Linked DNA regions of Astyanax mexicanus. The protein of the gene in region 1 interacts with the protein of each later gene in a biochemical or structural test. Links are inferred from orthologs where the notes say so. Each region holds a gene or a part of one and is shown on either strand. Other genes may lie near its edges.

Evidence for each region.
Region 2: the proteins of irf4a (region 1) and stat6 form a complex in vitro, tested with the Homo sapiens proteins (2 studies listed by BioGRID). The link is inferred for Astyanax mexicanus from reciprocal best matches to the Homo sapiens genes IRF4 and STAT6.
Region 3: the proteins of irf4a (region 1) and spi1b are reported together in a solved structure, tested with the Homo sapiens proteins (2 studies listed by BioGRID, with this or other methods). The link is inferred for Astyanax mexicanus from reciprocal best matches to the Homo sapiens genes IRF4 and SPI1.

The regions. Positions count from the first base shown.
Region 1 is NC_064415.1:8,773,235-8,780,199, reverse strand, and holds the start of irf4a (interferon regulatory factor 4a), read right to left. Parts: upstream 3,025-6,965; 5' UTR 2,612-3,024; intron 2,350-2,611; 5' UTR 2,257-2,349; coding exon 2,020-2,256; intron 1-2,019. UniProt on the Homo sapiens protein: Transcriptional activator. Binds to the interferon-stimulated response element (ISRE) of the MHC class I promoter. Binds the immunoglobulin lambda light chain enhancer, together with PU.1.
Region 2 is NC_064420.1:43,313,500-43,321,003, reverse strand, and holds the start of stat6 (signal transducer and activator of transcription 6), read right to left. Parts: upstream 3,020-7,504; 5' UTR 2,899-3,019; intron 1-2,898. UniProt on the Homo sapiens protein: Carries out a dual function: signal transduction and activation of transcription. Involved in IL4/interleukin-4- and IL3/interleukin-3-mediated signaling.
Region 3 is NC_064430.1:7,877,538-7,885,386, forward strand, and holds the start of spi1b (transcription factor PU.1b), read right to left. Parts: upstream 3,020-7,849; 5' UTR 2,617-3,019; coding exon 2,575-2,616; intron 1,391-2,574; coding exon 1,316-1,390; intron 1,181-1,315; coding exon 1,093-1,180; intron 1-1,092. UniProt on the Homo sapiens protein: Pioneer transcription factor, which controls hematopoietic cell fate by decompacting stem cell heterochromatin and allowing other transcription factors to enter otherwise inaccessible genomic sites.

The DNA of each region.
Region 1 (6,965 bases):
TTTGTGAATGGTATAAACTCTGACTTGTGATTTTTTCACCACTAACATTATAGAGGTTTATTAGATTTTAGACAAAAAAAAGTATATTAGACTGGACAGATTGGATTGGAAAAATAGTATATGGACCTTGATGCTCTTCTCCAACTTTAAAAGTTAGTACTACTTTGCAATAGTTCTTACTTATTCTAACTTTACATCTGTATCATGTATTTAGAGTTTTAGAGAAATATGTGATGAATAATGTCTTAGAGACTTCAGTTCCCATACTGAATGGTGGATGGAGCAAGACATTTCTTTATATTTCATTCTTAAGTAGATCTTTTAGAGCTTTTTTACTTTTGTTCGTCTGCTCTAATATTTTTACGACTTTCTGATCTTTCTCTAGAACTTTTATTCTTTCATCGTTCATTCATTATTCTATTTCAAACCCAAAAGAAAAAGAGCAGACTGTAGTCAACTTGCTGATGGAAGCTTAGTATTTTTTTCCAGTTCCAGTTGGTGGAATTCTACCAAGATTGTCTAAGACAGTGGTTCTCAAACTGTGGTACGGATACCCCTGGTGGTACGTGAAGCATCCCAAGATGGTACACTAGATAACCTCAAAAAAAAATCAGCTTGCATTAAAATAACTCTAGAACTCTACCATAATCTATCATGTTTCCAGCTGTAATTTTCATTGACCCTAGAGTAAAACCCTGTGGAACACCACAAGATATGCTTATACCAACCAACTATTCACCAACAGTTCAATTAAATTAGTAGCTAAATAGCTAAAAAAGATGTCTTAGTAGGAAAACTGTATAAGCCAGAAACAATAATCAATCAAACAATTTACCACACAAACTAACTTACAGAAAAAAGAAAAGAAAAAGCAGACCACATATCAGGTGACGAACCACTGTCTACAGATATGAGGACATGTATATGTGTGGATTACACCTCTAGATTACTGTGTATAAATAACTATGTGTGTGGTAACTACATGTGTTCCTGTGAAATGGCTAGTAGGTGGTACTTGAACGTTTTCGTTTGGTCATTGGTCTAAAATGTTTTTTTTTTCTTCAGTTCTAAAGCTTCTAGAGCTTTGAGCTGAGACATCTGTTCTTCTTTTTTATTGTTATTCTTCTATTTGTACACTAAATGGTGATCTTTATCAGTTTATAACAAAACGAGAAGAACAGGGTCTTGATAGACTTCCTATCAACAGTTCCTACACTGACGACACTGGTGGATGGACCAAGAAGTTCCTCTTAAGTTACTGAAAGTACTCGGGTAAAATTTGGGAGATGCTACTTTTCATTCCTTAACTTGTTTTTAATTTAAATTTAATTTTTATTTGTTTTGCTCTAGGGTTTGTACTACATTGTGAAAGTTCTCAAATCTAACTATAAATCTGTATAATTTATTTAGAGTTTTAAGAGAAATATGAGAAGAGTTCTGGCTAAGATTGGATGGAGAAATAAACGCTTTTGCAGTTCAAAAACAGATTTCAAGTAGATCGTTTTAGAGCTTTTTAACATTTGTTTGTCTACTCTAATATTTTCACCTTTTTCTGATCTTCCTTTAGAACTTCATTCATCATTCATTCATCCTTTTATTTCAGACCACAAAAAAAACAGACGCTTGTCAACATACTGATGGAAGCAGATTTTCTTCCAGTTCGAAGAATCCTACCTAGATTGTATTAGAAGTTTTTTTTCTGCAGTTTAAAGCTTCTAGAGCTTGAAGCTAAGACGTCTGTTCTTCTTTTTTTATTGTTACTCTACTATTTGTACACTAAATAATGATCTTTATCAATTAACACCAAAACGAGAAGAACAGGGTCTTAACAGACTTCCTACCATCAGTTCCTATACTGACTAAAGGTGGGTGGATCAAGTAGTTCCTCTGAAAAGTTCTTGAGAACAAAATACTTGGGTAAATGTTGGAGATGCTACATTTTGTTCCTCTACCTTTTTTTTGAAAACTCTTGTCATACTTTCTCTGAAGTTAATATCAGGTATCTTCAGGTGGACTCACCTTGAAGAGCGCAGCATCCTCGTCGCGGTTGTAGTCCTGCTTTCCCGCGTGTTTCCAGGGTATCCTGAAAATGGTTTTCTCGTCATTCTCCCAGACCAGGCCGGGATATTCCCCGCTATCAATCTGCTCGATGAGCCACTGCCTAAGCTTGCCATTGCCACAACTGACTGACATGCTGCAGTCCCCATCTAAATTCATGCCTGCCAAAGGACGCATGCGACAGTGGTGACCGGACATGCAGGTGCACAGCTCGGATCATGCAAATGCCAACGTGCCTTGGAGAAGATGCTGAGCCTGCTGAGAGAAGCTGCATGCACTGGAACTGTGAGCCTGGATATGATATAATATCAATTATATTAATAAAATGAATCATGCACTGAAGTCTAAACTAAAATAAAATACGTGTGAGTGCTGAAATCAAAAGTGCCGCACTTTTTGTTTTGTGCTGCACTTTAATTTAATAAAACAATGAATTAAAATGTACTAAAATTTCACTTGAGGCTTCAATAATGTTCTATGATGTTCTAATGGTTCTAAAGGTTCTCCAGACTGCTCAGTCTCCAGGCTGCAGGCTCCGTTCCCCAGCTCTTACCTCAGTGATCGCACTGCGCAATGCTCCTCAATCGCAGCTCTGAAACTTCTCCTGCACCAGAGTGGGCTGAGAGACGCTCCAGCGCTTAAGAAGCCTTCAACTGCAGCGCAAAAGGGGCGGGACCTAAATACAAGTGGGCGGGGCTATAAAAATACACTGAATTCTGTCACCACAATTCACAGTCAACAGAAACATATTATACATATAAGTACTATAATACTTTTACTAGAAACATTTACTAGATCTGGTCACTGGCGTTCATTGGACCCAGGAGCGCCTAGACTCATTTCTATATATTGATACAACATTTAATACATTTAATAAATGTAATAAAAAGCTCATTAATATGTATGAAATCCGGTTCTATTTAAACTAGTTTTACACATATTCAGTACCATAGAACTAAAAAAAAATTCGAGTATGCATCTGCAATGCTTTAATCATGCTAGTAGTAGTAATAATAATAATAATACATTGTATTAAAATAAATACAAAAACATAAAAAAATAAAATATAAAGATATGTCACGTGCTGTCCAGAAAGTATGTTAATAGCGGAAAAGTCAATATTGTTTTTTTTTTTGTTTAATTATGCAATAAAAATGTATTACATCAACACGAAAGAACAACAAAGCAAGCACACAATGATTCAACGACCTCTTAGTTTTAACTTGTTATGATCTGTTGGACTGTTTAAAATTGTGATAGCCTCTATGCTGCGTCAATAATCCATTATATGGAATATATAGATGTGGCATTATATTATATTTCCTATATTATATTATAGGAAAACTCGTTTGTAAAATTGCGTTTAAAGCTTGTTTTAATCAACTTAAACGTGTTCATACATTTGTAAAATAATTCTGAACTGAAACTTCGCTTGTTGGCAAAAAAATTTTTATAGCCGATTGATTGTATCTTATAGAAACTGTTGGCCTTTAGTATTTTGCGTTTGTGTTTTATTTTCATTTTAATATGCATAATCAAACTAATCAACGATTTTGTAAGCCAGAGTGACTCTCTAAAGACTTCAACCAACTAAAATATGCTAATTAATCAGTTATAAAAAATGGCCATAGAACATTAAAGCATTAGAGAATTATCTCTATTTTCTTGTTTTTGATATCTGAGTGCATTGGATGTTTCATACTTTTGTACATTTATTTAAGTTAGGAGGACTTCTACTTTTACTGGAATAAAGGCCAACGCACGCTCTTTAGCGCAGCCATAGTTTTTACTAGAGGTAGGCACATTGAATCGGCGCTCCAGGACTCCGATCATGGTTAAATGTAAAGTCATTATTACATTAAGTCAAAGCCAAAACAATACTACAAAAATAATGAATTACTTTACATTTACAACAAATACAAGAATTCCAATATTCGAGTAGGCCGCCTCTCTGTAGCTTGTTAATATCGCGTCTACAATAGGATAAAACATATTGTGATATAAGCTGTTAGTGATGGTAAAAAGATTGTGATTTACACGACGAATTGAGATCAAATTGTACATAGTGGATCACTAGTAATAAGCAGTAAATACGTAAACATAACTTTACATACATACATACATACATACATACATACATAATTTTACTTAAGCCATAAAGGCACAGACGCATTTCAGAATATTGATACCAAGTTTAAAATTGAATCAGCTGATTTCAGTGAAAAGCTTATATTAATATTTATTTTTCTTATTGTGATCACATGACTGTAAATATTTTAGGTTTAAAATCCTGATGTAACACAAATAACACAACAATTTCATGACTTTCGTGACGTTGATTATATTTTAACATTTTGTTCTAGAAATCAAGTCAAAACTTGTTCAAATGGTTGGAACATATGCGTAAGCAAATAATGCCCTTTTTAAAGGATCTAAAAAATGTCTGCACTTCCATCTTTACAATCTGCAAATATCGCTGTAATATGTGCTGTGATGATGCTCTTAGGATGTTCAGTAGATGTCACTTTGGAGCTTCATGAATTAAAGTGTAAGACAGAGTGCTTTAACCCTTTTAGACCCTGCGTCCATTACAATGGACATCATGTATTTTCTTTTTTTTTCTTTGATGTTTTGTTGCACATAACATTATTTGAGACCTGTTGTCCATCAGAATAGACCATGCAGCAGCCAATAAAACAAGTCAATGCAAGCCAATGAAACAGTAGATTAGCCCCGCCCACTGCACTGAAAAAATGACAAGAGCTCATATTTGCTCATTTTATGTTCTTTAGAACCATTTTTATTAATATAAAATGAAATGTTAAACAGGTATTCAATGCAATGGGCATTTAAATAAATTCAATTTTTTAGTTGGATTCCATTTTTGTATAGATGTTTTATTAGAGTATTTTGCGTGTGCACTACAAGACAGAAAACAGCATTCTTACCGTTTTTTGTCACTGGAACATAATTCAGGGTTCATTCATAATGAAAGGGTTAAGGAATGTTACACAACATCTTTTAAACGTCTTGGGTTAAGACTACAATAAATCATCCATAGAAATTAAATGGAATTAATTTACACAGCAGTTATGGATTATTATAATAAGAATAATAAATGCTGAATTATATACATGTTAAAATATATATTAAAGGTGTGCTGTGCTGCTGGTGGGCGTGGCCTGAGCTCCACGCTCGAGGGGTTTCTCTGAAGAGAGGTAGAGTAGTAAACATCCCGCCGGGGAATCCCACCGAGCCGCCGCGCGCCCGGCCGCGGAACATCGGCCGTCCCAGCGCGCGCTCCTCATCACACTCATCCGTTCCGATATCCGCTGATTGCGCGCGGCTGTTTTTATCGAGTGGGCTGCGGGAGTTTACAGCCGCTCCGCAGCCCGGTCTGATCGGATCCGGTAAATCAGACTCCACCCAGAAATACCCGTCCTACCAGTTTAATGTCAGACTGGAGCTTCTTTCCACTGCTGGGGTTAGTGGTGTTCACCAAACCACGGAGAGAAACGGAGATAATAATACAAAAATAAAATACCCCTATTTAACCCAACCAAACTCAAGAGTTACTGGGTGAAATTAGTGCCATCTGGCGGAATGAAGCATTAGTACCACCTGTACAGGTATGAGACAGCATGTCCAGCTATGATTGTTGACTTACCTTTTTTTGGGACATAAATGCGTATTAGCTGAAACATCATCAATAACACACGAATCTGATCCAACATTAGTTAGTAAATGACATAATAAGAATTACAAAAGGATAAAAACAAGTTAATCAAACTGCCAACTGAAACAAACAAACAAAACTATTCCAAAATCATAATGCATCTCAAAAAAAAAAGAGAAAGGATGTCAAATTAACCCTTTCATACCTGGATTACGCTCCAGATAAGAATTATGTTTTTGGTCTATAATGCAAACAAAATAAGACACTACAACCCTAATATAAAATCTTAATAAATTAAATTTACTATAACCAATTAACTATATTTTTATACCTAAACATGATAAAAAAGTGTTTTAAATCACAAAAAATATAGGAAAAACGAGTTTGTATTACTTTGCCTCATTTGTTCTTTAGTCCTGACGCCCTAATGTCTCAGTTGCCGATTTTTTTTTGTCCAGTCCAGTGGGCGGGGCTAAGCTACTGTTTTATTGGCTGGTTTATAATCTATTCTGATGGACAACAGGCCACAATTAATGTTTGCAGTAAAATAACTTCTTTACATTCTACAAATTTTGAGGGCTTTGAAATCTCCTACAGGCCACTTTGAAAATCGGCCTGTTTTCTCTCTACTTCACTTAATAATTGCAAATTACTAACAGGAATCAACCCATGTTGAAAATAGTCGTTAAAAACTAGACAAACATAGTAAAACTAAAGGTTTGGAGCACATGAACTGGAAAATATTAATTTTAAATTGAAGTGCAGGAAAAAAGTCAATTTTATGATTTTATTCATTATATTTTGACATATTTTGGCAGATTTAGTTTTTTCTCTATTATGATTTCAATTATACTTTTCAGCAATGTTCCTTATCAATCATGAAAACTTTTAATATAATGATTGAATAGAAATACTTAAGATTAAGTGGTGTAATATCAGGCAGACAACTGACAAAAATCCTGGCCTCTAAATAGTAAGAAAGACATCTAAATAATTGACTTAATTTTTATACAGTACAGTATCTTAAAATAATGTCTTTGTGTCTTGAAATATAGAGGCTTATTATCTTAAAATAATGAAACGGTGTATCAAAACAACGACATAGTATCTCAAAATTATAACTTAGTATCTAAATCCTAAATAATACATTGTAAATGAATACTGAAGTGATTCACATTATGAAGGAACACATAAGGAATCATGTAGTAACTTAAAAGTGAACCAAAATACT
Region 2 (7,504 bases), on another chromosome or scaffold:
CTGTTTCTATCGTTTTTAGAGATGGAAAACATGGCGGAAATTATCGCTGACTAATAATCACTCAAAAATTAACTAATCAAAAAAATAATCATTAGATTAGTCGACAACCAACACAATCATTAGTTGCAACCCTAACACACAGTGTCTTCAGGTGGATCTCTTAGTGCCACCATCCTGAAATTAAGTCACTATAAGTCGACTGATGAGCACAAACCAATAGGTAGGATTGGGAAACAGACTGTAAAATTAATTATTTGATTCTGTTGAAAGATACAGCTCTGGAAAAAATAAGAGACCACTTCAGTTTCTGAATCAATTTCTCTGATTTTGGTTTTTAATCACAGTTTTCATGCACCTTGGCATGTTCTCCTCCACCAGTCTTACACACTGCTTTTTGATAACTTTATGCCGCTCCTGGTTCAAACATTCAAGCAGTTCAGCTTGGTTTGATGGCTTGTGATCATCCATCTTCCTCTTGATTATATTTCAGAGGTTTTCACTTTGGTAAAATAATAAAAACTCATAATTTTTAAGTGGTCTCTTTTTTTCCAGAGTTGTATATTAAAGAGATATTTTAAGCAACAGTTGGAATTCATGCAGAATAGATTTTGCAATATGTCCCCCTATCCTAGGGAGCATGTATGTTGGACGAGGGATCAGTGGGCCTCAGTGCTGATGTAACTGGTGAAAGTCAGTTTACAGTGAGCAGAAATTATGGACGCCAACGATATTGGAGACGTCAAGAGGAGCTCTAAGCATCAGCCACTGTTGTCACCAGACGAGATTTTGGTGGTGGGAGTGTTACAGTGTTACAGTTCAATACATACAGTAAACGTGTCTCTGCATGAACAACACAAGCCTAATTTCATCTTCATAGACCATAATGCTCTAGCTTATCAAGGTTGCATCAATAGTCTGGGGTACCTCAAACAGAGAAGCCTGTACGTTCCCCAGACCTGAATCCCACAGATTTCCTGCTGAGTCACTGTGTACAGGCTCATAACTCTGTACCCCAGAACCTTAATGACCTGAGAGCCACCCTTAAAGAAGAGTGGGATGATCGTGACTCAGCAGACAATAAGTCGACTTGTGAAAAGCGTGAGGGGTTAGTGTTGGTGTTGTCAAGCTGTAATTGATGCTTAAGAGCACATGACAAGTTAGTTATTGAAACACTGCCATTTTTTTGCTGGGGCATATCCAACATTGAGATGAGGAAATTAACACTGATTGCTTCTATTTAAGTGCTCTATTTTATTATATAATATTTTTTGTAGAATTAACATTTTACATTTTATATTTCTACCTTTTGTGAGTAGTGTACATTTTTACAGATTCACACAGTAATATTAGAGATAGACGATACAATACAAATATAGAATCACAATATTTAAAAGCTATTTTCATGATACACAATATTAATCACAATATATTAACAGACAAAATGCCTCAGTAACTGCTACTCATGCAATAAAATTCTTGCTATACAATGTACAGTGACTTTTCTTCAGAGCGTGCTACACTCCTTGTAATGAAATATACTTAGTAGGTGTGTTTCCTTTAAGAACTGATTAAATTCAAGATATGCTTTGAAAACAACTGTTTATTAGCCAAAATCTGTATCAAAATACGTTTCTTAATTTTGTTGCTTGCAATACAATTTCAGTATCAATATAACAAAAAATAAAATCCACAATGAATAACTGTACCAACAAGCTTCAGAAAAACATATTTGGCAATTTGTTTATTGTGCCAATGACAGATGCTGTAAACAATGTATAATAAAATATCAAAAAAAAAATCCCACCATTTTCAAAGCATTTTATTTATATTTTTTATTGTAAATATCCACCTTTCTTGCTGGCTTTTAGCTTAGGGAGAACCTTTAAATATGTCTTTGTTCAGTTGGTGAAGGCCTTGCCCAAAAAGCCATAGAAACAGGCAGCATTTAGTAATCTAGGGGGAACAGAAACCTGAGCTCAGGCAGGAGGCTTCTGCTTTAAAAAAAAATGTGATTTGTTTCTCCAACAGGATACAACACAGCATTTACTGTTATCCTTTAGTGTGTAAAAGTGTAAAGAAAAATTAACTTTTTTTTACTTTAGTAAATCATGTACATACAAACGTACATACATTACAAATATATACATATATGCATGTACTGTGTATAAAGATATATATATATATATATATATATATATATATAGACTACATTAGCTATTACTGGATTAACACTGGGAACTGGAACCTAGAGTAGTGTCTTAGTATAGTATAGTATAGTAAGTAACAGCGTGACTATACTACAGTTTTACAGCATTTACACACATATACTGTATATAGCTATAGCTAAACACCATTATAGTGGGTGTTGGTGGGGTATTCAAGATTGCTGGTACACAGCAAATGTGCCAGTGTTAGAACCACACAGATTTAACTGTATAAAATGATGAAAATATCTTTTTAAAACCCACATTGTTAATTTAATTGTAAATGTGCTGTGTGGGCTGATGTTTAGATGATCTGAGATCTGGGAGGTCCTGGGGTTTCTGGTAGGCCTGTCTTTCCCTCTATAAACGTCGTTGGTTAGAAAAACAGTCGATACAGGTTCTGATAAACCCTGTCAGAGCAGGGAAGTGACTAGAACACTGTCGCTAAACAGAGGAAGGCACTTTAGGCTCAGTTTGGTGAGGCCGTGCGCGTTTACGCTCGGATGGATCTGTGGAGAGCTAAAAAACGCATGTTGCGTAAGCACCTCAGTACAGTGGCCTAGTCCACCAACTTCTCCTCGAGTCGTTGGCAAAAAGCTTCTTCTTTTAAACGACATAAACAACGACTGACAACCGCTACAGGCTGCTATAGCGAGAGTTAAAGAGCAGAAAAGAGAGTAAATATGAGACTCACCTCTCCTCGTCGCCACTTCGTATACACATGTAAAGGAGAAATAAGCTTATCCGCCTTCCGTGTGTGCGTTGGTGTGTATGTGTGTGTTTGTGAGTGTGTGTGTGCGTTGTGTGTGCGTGTGCGTGTGTGTGTGTTTTCTTCCCCTTCCCAGCTCGGCTGTACTTTCACTTTTCTGAGCTGAGCGGCGATTCAGCAGCTCCTTCCAGCGTTCAGAGCCGGTGGAGCTGCAGCCTCTGCCATTAATTAGCCCAGCTGATAGAAAGCGTTAAAACAACGCCGTAAGAACGTTATTAAAACGTTCGGAAACGTTTTGTAAAGCTTTCCAGGAGTATTTTCAGAAATAACGTTTCTAGGAACGTGCTTTGTCGCAGTAATTGAAAAAAAAAAAGAATTGCATTTGAATTTGAATCGCAACGTAATTGGAACGTTTGTAACACAACGTTCCAAGTTACACTTTTTAAACTGTAACGTTCTGGAAAACATTCCTAAAAAAGTAAACAAACAAACAAACAAACAAAAACAATGATTCAACACATACAGTACATTATCACTGTGGTCACATTTAATGAACGTGTTTGTTTAAACACGAAAAACTATATTTTATTAACTTACACAAATAATATAAAACAATAATATAATAAATATTACATTATTATTGAAACATGCCAACTAAATCTTAAATTGCAGAATAAATAAATAAACGTAACACAACAGAAAAACAAAATTATGTATACTGTAAATGTTATTAAAATTGTTCAGGTATAAATAAAATAAAAAAATGTAGGTGTTTGCAGAAATTAATCGTTCTAAGAAGCATAAGTCGCAACGTTTAGAAAATGTTAGAGGTAAGAGCTAAATGTGTCTGTTTTTTTATTTTATTTTATAAATGCTTTGTTGGTTCTTAGAACATTCAGTCTATGAAACTTTCCCCTCATGGAAAGATATATAAAATATAAAAAAATATATATGCTCATGTATTCCTTTATTTGTGACATAAAATTGATTACAGTACATTAGCAAAAAAATATTTTTGGCCTATTTCATAAATTTTCAAATGTATTTATAAATTAATTTACATATATTATACAAATTTTTCCATATGGGTGAGGATATTGCTTGATTGTTTTTATTTACCGTTTTATTCTTACAGTTAAACACATACAATTCTCATTTGTTATGCATACTTCAATTAAATTAAATTAAATAAAATTTTATTTGTATAGCGCTTTTTACAACAAAAGTTGGCAAAAAGCAGGTTTGAAGAAAAAAAAAAAACAGGTCCACGTCTCTTATGAGCAGCACCACAAAGAGGCTAATTATTGTGGTGACACAGTGGCAAGGAACAACTCCCCTACAAAGTTTAGAAATAGAAGCATTGCATGTCACATTAATTAAACCTTATGCATCAGTTGTATTTGTGTTATTCTATATAATGTTAGGGTTTGGCTAACTGGGGATGTTTATGTGAAATGTCATTAGGCCTACATCACAGTTCTTCAGAGCATTTCTGAAATGTTTTTTAATATATAATGTTACAATTTAATATTCCTGGAACCATATGTGTGTTGCTGGTGAATAATGTAAATGGGTGTGTTATTAAAGAGAAAATGATGCTCTATTACACTGGGAGGTGTGTTTGGGGGGGTTGTTAATGGAAAGTGATGTTCTGTATTAAATGATGATACTGTTTGTTGTGAAGACTGATATTAGTATTAGTGAGTTAGTGAGTGGTAAACAGGCTGTGGGAGAATTACAGCTGCTCACTATTAGATAGGCAGCTGTGTGAGTAATGGACTGAGTGGCAGCTCAATCTGAAGCTGTAATAAATGTGATAAGGACAGTTTGCAGTGCTGAGCTACTGCTGCTGTGTTCATGCAGTAGTGTGTGTGTGTGTGTGTGTGTGTGTTTAGTGGGTGGAGACTCTGAGCGTCATTTCTGCTCTCACTGGCACCATTTCCAGTAAAAGGCCTGGTTTCGAAACTCTTCCGGGTCTCTGTCGCTCTCTCTCTCTCTCTGTCTCTCTGTCTCTCTCTTTCATTCCACTTCTTGTTCTGGTTATGTGCCCACCAGAGCTAAAATATCTACACTACTGTACTTAAGTACTAAAACGCTGTATCTTCATCTACTGGAGTATTATTTTTACTTCACTACTGTACTTAAATACTAAAATTCTGTATCTACTGGAGTATTATTTTTAACTATTTCACTACTGTACTTAAGTACCAAAATGTGGTATCTGTATCTACTGGAGTATTATTTTTAATTATTTCACTACTGTACTTAAGTACTAAAATGCTGTATCTGTATCTACTGGAGTATTATTTTTAACTACTTAACTACTCTACTTAAGTACTAAAATACTGTATCTGTATCTACTGGAGTATTATTTTTACTTCATTACTGTAATTAAGTACTAAAATACTGTATGTGTATCTACTGGAGTATTATTTTTACTTCATTACTGTAATTAAGTACTAAAATACTGTATGTGTATCTACTGGAGTATTACTTTTACTTCACTACTGCACTTAATACTTGGCAAACTCAGTAAAACCTGTGAAAAACGTATTCACTATTCTTTATTTTTCATTTAGTTTGGTTTCAGTCATTTTGTTTTGGTGCATTCCATTTTATATCATCATTTTTTATTTTTGTATTTTTGTTGCTCTCTCTCTTACTCTCATGCCTCACAAGCTCTCTCTCTCTCTCTCTCTCTCTCTCTCTCTCTCTCTCTCGCTCTCTATTTTTATTCATTTTATATCTATATCTTTCTATGTGAACAAGGGACTTTCAGTGATATTTAAGGATAGATAAGTGTGGTTGAAGTATATTTTAGTGGAAAGTAAGGGACTGTATAAACTCTAAACTAGGCCTGGGACAATATACAAGGCCTACACTGACTACATGTAAACTCTCAGAATGTCTGCTTTTTGTTTTAGCATTGAATTCCTATATTACTATCATTGACAAAACAGAAGCATTACCAAAAGTAATGCTTATTAAATAATATAATAATATCTCCTAAAGAGAAGCTGCAGTAATTGGACACTGCCAAAAGAGGGCATCAGCTGACCGTATCTGCAGCATCAACAGCAGCAGGACTGATCTCCTGCTTCTAAATGCAGCTGATCTATCTGCTGAGAGTCTGAATGTGTTGGTCGTGTTAATAATCTTCCACTGAGTTTATTTCATTAACTTCCTCTATATAGGATCACAGTATTTGAAGATATTTTCACAGTACACACTTTTTAACTCTTCTAGACCCGAATTATGTTCCAGTGAGGGAAAATATAAGAATGGTGCTGTCACACAAAATAAGACACTACTATCCAAATATAAAATCTATATAAAAATAAATCCGATTAGCTGAATTTTTATTCCTAAACATGATATAAAAGCTAAACTACTATTTCACTGACTGGTTTACGATCTATTCTGATGGACAACAGGTCTCAATTGTTTTTCTGTGCAACAAAACATTTGAAAAAAAGAAACTACATGATGTCCACTGCAATTAATGCAGGGTCTGAAAGGGTTAAATGCAATCCCATAGTGAGTAGAGTGACTTTTATTCAGAATAACCTGCAGTTCATCCAATTAATCTCAACTAATTATTCTTTTTTGGCAATGTAATGTACAGTTGGGTCTTAAAGCAAGTGTTCTTTAAGCAGTGATTATATCTTTGAAATGCTTTAAAACGTGTATATTTTTTCGAATTAAGTAAATGTATCACAATACAAATATACAATGAAAAAGAACATTTAAAAATATTGAGGTAATTAAAGTTTTAAGCACATTTACTTGAAATAGTGCTGTATAGAAAAGTATCGTTTTTTACAGAACTATACTTCCAAATGAAGCGCTTGCGTACTTTAAAATACATTTTATAACCTAGCTATTATATTTATTAACTAATTATTTAGAGATAATAGTTTATTAGTTAATTTACTAAATTTTTTTAGAAAAGTTTAAATCTAAAATTGGACCCAAATATAGTTTTAAGTTTAATCCTTAAATTTCAAAATTAATTTTTCCCCCAAATTTGTTTAGTAATCGTTACTTAAAATTTTTAATATTAATCCTGAAATTCAAAAATGTAGCTGTTCCTTTACTTACAACTTAAACACTATTTTGTGACCTAACATTTAAGTAAATATTTAATTTACTGAAAACAAATCTTTTAAGCACATTAGCATGTTAGTAATACTAAAACCTATTCGTGTTTACTTTGCATATATCGTCAATACAATTAGAAAAAATACCACAAAATGATCAAATATGGTCATATTGCCCAGCTCTACTTATACATACATAGAACTATAAGTCAATCATCTGCAGGATCTGAGAACATCTGAGAACATATCCAGCACTGTGCAGGTCAGCAGTTGTGGGAGGAGCCTGTTTTAAACAGAGTGAAGTGTATGGAGGCCTGTCCTGCCATCTGGTGAGATGTTTAGAAAATCAGCTCTACTTGTCATCAGAAATTCACGTGAGGAGCATTTCATGTGGGGGTGTGGGGGGCTGTAGGGGGGTTGCAGGGGGGTGTGGTGGGTGGCAGGTTGAAGGGGTGCGTGCGAGGGCATTCCTCATATCACAGCCCATTTCC
Region 3 (7,849 bases), on another chromosome or scaffold:
AACAGTAAACACTAGCAGTAAAACACTAAGTAAAACACTAACAGTAAACACTAGCAGTAAAACACTAGCAGTAAAACACTAACAGTAAACACTAGCAGTAAAACACTAAGTAAAACACTAACAGTAAACACTAGCAGTAAAACACTAAGTAAAACACTAACAGTAAACACTAGCAGTAAAACACTAGCAGTCATAATCTGCCATAATCTGCTCCGCCTCCACTCAATATGCATTTTTTTTTTTTCTGGAGCGTTTTGCTTGTGGCAAGAACGTGATCCGGTCTTGATCTGACCCAGCAATTAAATATTCTTTTTTCTTTATTAATTGAGCTAAACTAATGATTAGGCGCAGTTTAATCTGATATGTTATATATTATATATTATATATTATCTGATCAGGTAATATACAGCTATGAACAAATGCTGTCTCTGCTGCTCCATGCTGTTTACACACTAAGAGCACGGCATGTGCAGCGTTCAGTGTTTAAAAGCGCAGCAGCACCTTTTTAGCATTCTGTATTAAAGCAGCTTCACTCTGCACAGATATACCATGCAAGCACATCGTCTCCTCTGATTGGTCATATAGATACAATAGATACAAACAGCTAATTTACAAAAAGCAGAGTTTTTACAGCACTGTTTTCCTTAAAACATCTCCTAATCTCTCCTCATCTGAGTTTAATAGAGTTATTTCTAGTTCTCATCATATCAACACCTGGTTTGGTAAATCAAATCTTTAACATCTTACTGATGTTAAATCAGGTGAGCTGCTGACGGAACTGAACATATCATATGCTGGCTTGTCTGAGGGAATCCAGGAGAAATGTGGAACTAAACTTTGTTCTAAAGCTTGGCTCACAGGATATAACCTACTTAGGTAAAAATGAGAAATTCCTGTTACTTTTTAATGTATTATGTTTATTTGCATCTGTTTAAATCACATATAGTGCTTTTTTCAGGCAAAAACACTCAATTAGTGTACTTTTACACAGTACTGTACATATATAAAATTACATTGGGAGTTGACCCACAAGTGCAGTAAAAAACAGAGCTAATATAAAGCTAAAATAATAAAAAAAAAGCAGCTTCTTACCACTTTGGCCACTCTCTCCATCGATTATGTACGGATACTCCATCGGCGGTCGATAGATGTCCGTCTCATAGATCAGCTCTTCCGTCGGCTGCAGGGTGAAAGTGGGAAAAGATCGTTTTTGACCACTCAGAACGCAAAACACCAAAGCAAAGCCCCAAAGTTTCAATGCAGAAATATGAATGCAGTATATATTTATGAGCAGGATGAGAAACACGAGCCTCACATCTTTGTTTACAAGGGCCCAGTAATCTTTAAATTCAGAAGGTGTCTGTGACATCCAGCCAGTCCGGGTTATTTTCTATTACACACAGAAATTATAGTTCAGTAATTCAGTAATTTCTGTGAACAGTTCTTTATTTTTACATCCTTAAAAAATTATATATGTAAGGGTGCCACAAATGGTTTCTTGAGGGATGCCATAAATAAAAGAACCACTTTTGTCTTCAGAAAGTCAGTTTTTGTTATAAGAAATCTTTACAAGAGTGTGAACATGTTCTTTTTTATGATTTTTTAAAAATATTTTTTTTTATATTTAAAGCCCACATCCATTTTTTACGAACTATCCTTTTTTATTATTATTATTATTATTGTTATTATTATTATTATTATTATTTCTCAATGTAAACTAAAGTGGTTCTTTTGTGGCATTGCTTATTAAGCCCTTTGTAGCACCTTTAAAAAAAAAAAGTTTTTTTTAGTAGAAAAGATTGGATAAATGATTGGCTGTAATATGTTAGTTGATATATTAGTTGAATTTGTTACGAATGATTGATTGACATTGGTTGCTCGATAATGTTAATAACATTAGATTTTTAAGACATTTTAAGGTTGAAATTTGATTTCATTTAACAACATATACATATATACACGACAAGAGATTGATCACATCAAGTCATCTACAGTGGATGAGATCAGAATAGATCAGAAGAAATTGTATATTTTTTGACATATATGTGGAAATTAATCAAATGCAAAAAGTTGAAAAGTTACTGTTGTTTAAATGGAAAAGATTAGCAAGCAAACTATATACTTCACAACTGCAAGTACAAGTACAATACACATATACATATACATATATGGATAAGATCAGAATAGATCAGAAGAAATTTTATATTTTTTGACATATATGTGGAAATGAATCAAATGCAAAAAAAAACTTGAAAAGTTACTGTTGTTTAAATGGCAAAGATTAGCAACAAAACTATACACTGCACAACTGCAAGTACAAGTACAATACACATATACATACACATATATATTGCATTTTTAAACTGTAATTATTTAGCATTAAAATGGCTACACAGGCTTAAGGCCACTGTTAGGAACGGCTAAACCCTGTCATCACTTTGACTATAGCTAGTTCAAAACCCAATCTCATCAATTTCAAATTTCTACTGCGATAACTCAACACAACGCAACATCACACACACACACACTTCACCACGCGCTCACACACTCTTAGGAAAGATGGGGAATACTCACAGGTGGGATGATGTACCCCTCCATTCTGTACGAAGGCAACATATGGGGTCTTCTCGGCTTCGCTCTAGCTCTAGCTCTTCGCGCTAACCCTCTCAATGGCTTTCAAAACTGTCCCCGAGCCATTGCACAACTAAATTTCCTCTTACCAAATGAAACCAAAGATCTCGGACGCCGCTCGCATGCACACTCGCACACACACACACCCGCAAACACCTTATCCAGTGGGGGCCACACTGCTGCTTTCCAGGGCCCTTGAAATCAACAGAAAGCGGCTAAAGATACAGTCAGAGCAAGTAGCAAGTTAGCCTAACAGCAAGCGTGACCAAAAAGGACAGGGCTTTCTGTTTGTTACTTCTTTATTTTTGGGTATGTGTGTGTGTGTGTGTGTGAGTGTGTGTGAGAGAGAGCCTGCTGCTGGTTCCTGATTTTAGGGTGATGTCAGGTGGGGATTATAACTACTCAGTTCGAACAGACGCAGTGTGTCACCTCCCCCAATAGCCAATCAAGAGGCAGCTCAGCCAACACGCTTCTTCCTGTCCACCTCCATGCTGCCTGCCATTCGGCGAGCTTTAACGTAGGATGAAGGAATAATTGGTGCCACTTTAGAAGACTTTGGGGGTCGTCTAATTGGCCCGTTTTGCTGGCCGTCCCTAAACGGACCAATATACCCCAACATTCTCCAATGTTGGGCTGTTTTAATGGTTTAAAATGGATTTAAATGGATTTAAAGAAGTAGATTTAAAGAAGTGGATTTAAGGGTCAATTTCAGTATATATCAATATATCTTCCCTGTGTCTGCAGTATAGTTTACAGTTTACGTTTTATACAAACAATGTTATTATAATTTTTAATATTATATATTATTTATAACTTCCTATAAAAAAAGACCGAACGTTTGCTTGGTGTGCATTTTTTTATGTATTATATCTATGTGGAATCAGTAGGACCGAACAAGTATAAAAACGAAACTTTGTTTTGTACAGAAAGTCATTTTTTTTGCAAATCACATTGCCCTAGTAGGTAGAGAATAGTTTATTTTAACATTTAAAAATGATCCTTGCAATTTGGGATGAGAAGACCCCAATTAGTACAAAAACCCAGTATCTTATTTTTAATCAATCGAGAGTACTGTTGCATGCGACCACCAGATGGTACAGGCAGTGTCTCCATATAAGGACAAAGGGTTGACGTTTTAACAAATGTAGAATAATGATACAGAAATGCAGAAATGTAGTGTCCTCAAAAGAGGACAAAGGGTCTTAAGTGGTTTATTCTAATGGACAACAGCTCTCAAATAATGCTAATAGTGTTATGGGCAACAAAATATTTAAAAATAAAGAAAATACATGATGTCCATTGTGATGTATGCAGAGTCTGAAAGGGATAAATATATATATATATATACTACATTGGTATTAATATTAAAGATTTAAAAACTATGAAGGTACACATATGCAGTTAGTTACTTCACATACACCCGGCATAAAAACCTAACTCAGGATTTTTGGGATGAGTTAGAGCTCAGCATTTCTAAAACTCCTTTGAGACAGTTGTAGAACCATTCCAGGTTTTACTTAATGACTTAATTACTGACTGAGATAATCAGACAGGATGTGCAAAACTGGCCTTTGAGCAAAAGGTGCTACTTTTAAAGAAGGTGCTAAAGAATCTAAAGTATAAACATATTTTGGCTTGTTTAACTTTTTGTTTTTTTATAAGTACATATGCATTTCTTTATAGTTTATATATGTATATAAATATATACATTATTTAAAAAATGTAAAAAAAAAAAATAGTAAATGAGAAGGTATGTACTGTGTACATATGTGTTGTTTTATTGTAACTCTTTTAATTAAGTGTGGCAGAAAAAAAATTATAATATGAGGAAGTTGTTTAAAGATTTAAAGAAGTGAATTGTTTCCTATTGAGCTATTTAAACGTATGTGAAACAAATCTGGAAGATTTTGCCTGAAAGGTAAAAAAAAAACTAAGCTCATCCAAATATATCCTTCTTATATATTTAATAAAATGTGTGTCATAGCAATCTGCACAACAGGGTGGGCAATTTTAGTGAAAACTGACGTTTGATGAAAACAAGGTTGACCTGAATTGATTATAGTGAGCTTGTTTAGATTTAAAAAAATACATTTAGATTTTCTTAAATACCTTAGCTTTACCTCTTTACGCTAAGTATGGATAAGATAAAATAAAAATATTACTTAAATATTCACTATTTACTGTATACCTGTTTACAACTGATGCTCTCAAACAAATTAAGAGACAAGAAATTCAAGTAATTAACTCTTGACGAGTTCAGCACAGCTGTTAACTGAAAGCCTGAATTCCAGGTAACTCTACCTCATAAAGCTGACTGAGAAAATCCAGCAGATATGTGTAAAACTGTCTCTATCTAAGCAAGAGGAATACTTTGAAGAATCTAAAATATAAAACATATTCTGGTTTGTTTGAACACTTTCTTGCTAACTGAATAATTCCACATATATTCTTTCATAGTTTGGATGACTGTAGTATTGATCTACAATGCAGATTCAAAGTTTAGAATAATGAAAAAACACTGTATTGAAGGTGTGTCTAATCTGTGACTGAAATTTTACCTTTTAAACCTTATTTAACCTGTTAAAAGTATCTGTAGACATGGCAAAAAAGCCCACCCGCCCCCAAGTTTAAAAGAAACTCTATACAATGCTGTACAAAAAAGTGCTTCAAAATGATGGCAAACATTACATACCTACTATATATGTAAGACTGTGTTCATTCAGATTGAATACTGATCAATTTCCCGGGTGAAAAGGAAGTATATAGTTAAGAACACCGAAAGTATGATCAAATTAGGTAAAGAATACTAAAAGTAAATTTATATATTTAATATATTTTATGAAAATACAAATTAAATTAAACTTTTTCTGTATTTCCATAAAAAGTATTTTTAAGCAGTAGGCTTTAAATTATATGTTGTGTTGATAGAAAATATATGTAGTGGCATTAACCCTCCTATTATCTGTGGGGTAAATTTGACCCCATTTAGTGTTTAAAGTCTCTAAAAAAAAGGTTGACATTAGTTTTGTCATTTATATTCATTGTCTTTTCTTAATTTAATGAAGACAATTAACGAAAAACAAAATGTTTCAAATGTTTCAACTTTAATGTATTTTTTATTAAGGCTGTTTTATTGACATAAAACATAAGAAATATCTAAGAAATATTTGACACATTTTTGTGTGGTAATAATGTTAAGATCACTATGACATTCCATTTTAGAATCTTTTTCTAAATGCCCCTTTACTTTAGGCCCTGATTTAACAAAACATTACTTATAATACTTACATAATACTAATAAAACACAATAATGCCAGAACAGATTATATTTTTAAAAATAAACATAAAGTAACTGATGAGTAAACTTTGCTAACATGTTTAATGATCTGTAATTATGATATTTTTCTGAAGGTTTAAATTGCTGGGATCATATTGACCAGATAATAAATGGTGTTTGTAAATTTGAGGATAGCAGGAGGGTTAAATACTATTTTAAAGTGCACTTATTTATGTGAATAAGTACATTTAATTTATTTCTCAAATTATATATATATATAAGATAGTTTGAGCCAGTTTTTTTAGATTACGTCCAAATTTCCTGTTGAATTGACCTATAAAACTGCTTGAACAAGAATAAAATGAATTAAGTCATTGTACACTGAATAATTTTTCTTTTTGAGTTTATAAAATGTTTTGTATGACAGCAACAAAGTTATTGTAATAATATATTATTGTTAAACAAAAAAAAGAAATGGCAAAAATATACCAAATATATTAAATATTGCATTAATTGCATTAAAAAATAAAGCTCCATTTCATGCACTTATTTTCATTTCCAAAATGCACTTGTAGAATTCATTTTAAACTCTTTGTTTTGAGTTAAACTGTAGTTAGTGAACTCAGAGCTCTCTCTCTCTTGGCTGCAGACGATGAGTTATCTGAGAGATAAGGTAGTTGGTGAGACTGTCTCGTATCAGTTATAATCTTCTGGAGCAGTTTCACCAAGACAAGAAGTGACAGTAGATAGCAGGTCTATATGTAACTCTGGCTGATTTAATCAAACGGCTGTGGTAAAGATACTTAGGAAGAATGTCGTCGGTGTCAGACAAAAACCTTGTATCTCAAAAATGGCAACTTTACAGTAGAAATAGCCTTTTTTTTACACTGAAAATCACAATGAAAAGAATTGGTAGATTCTGTCAAAAAGGGGGAAAAGGCAAAAATGGAGATACATGATAAAATGCATTTAATGCAAATAATTCTGGCTAAAATAGTATAGAGGAGGATTCTCTTCAGGCCTGACTGAAGGTCTAGGACTAGGTTTAATCCCTGTCTGGAAAACTGCTTAGCAGGTTTACTTCATATCAGTTTAAAGCAAAAAATCATCTGAAGGCATGTATCACTTAGGAATTTTTGGAAAGCTTGGCAGCACTAATTAATTGTTTTATAAATGATCCTTTATAAAGCATTACTACACTACTTTATAGTAGCTGATCATCCTCTTAGGTGAATAAAACTCTAAAATATAAAAAATCTAAAAAATGCTCTGAACCAAAGAACATAATACTTTAATAATGGTCAAAAATGAGTTTTTTTTTATACTGTACATTCCATGTATAAATGTATAATTAATAGGTTATCAAACATCAAAGTCTTTCAACTGATTTAATCAAATGGCTGAGGTAAAAAATACTTAGGAAGCATATCGCCAGTCTCAGACAAAAAACCTTGTATCTCAAAAATAGCAACTTTACAGTAGATTCTCTAGTAGATTCTGTCAAAAAGAGAAAATTGGCAAAAATTGAGATACAAGGTCCTGTATAGCAAGAATCACATTGTGCAGCATACTGTACAAACTGAACTGCATTTAAATGTATTGAAAATGCCCCAGTATATTGTTTTCTCCATATCAGTTTAAAGCAGAAATTCATCTGAAAGCATTAATAACTGCCAAGCCCCCAAATGTCCTTTAGCCTTCTTATATTAAAATGTAGCCCATAGAAAATGTTGCAGACTATTGTGGTTTCTTTCATAGTAAGTGATGAATGCATGTAACGTACATTAAGTATTCACAGCACATGTAATTAATTACATTTTAATTTAACTCAAAAACGGCAACTTTACAGTAGAAATAGCCTTCTTTATGCTGGAAGTCACAATGAAAAGCACTGGTATATAGTACAGAGGAGGATTCTGTTCAGGCATGACTGAAGGTCTA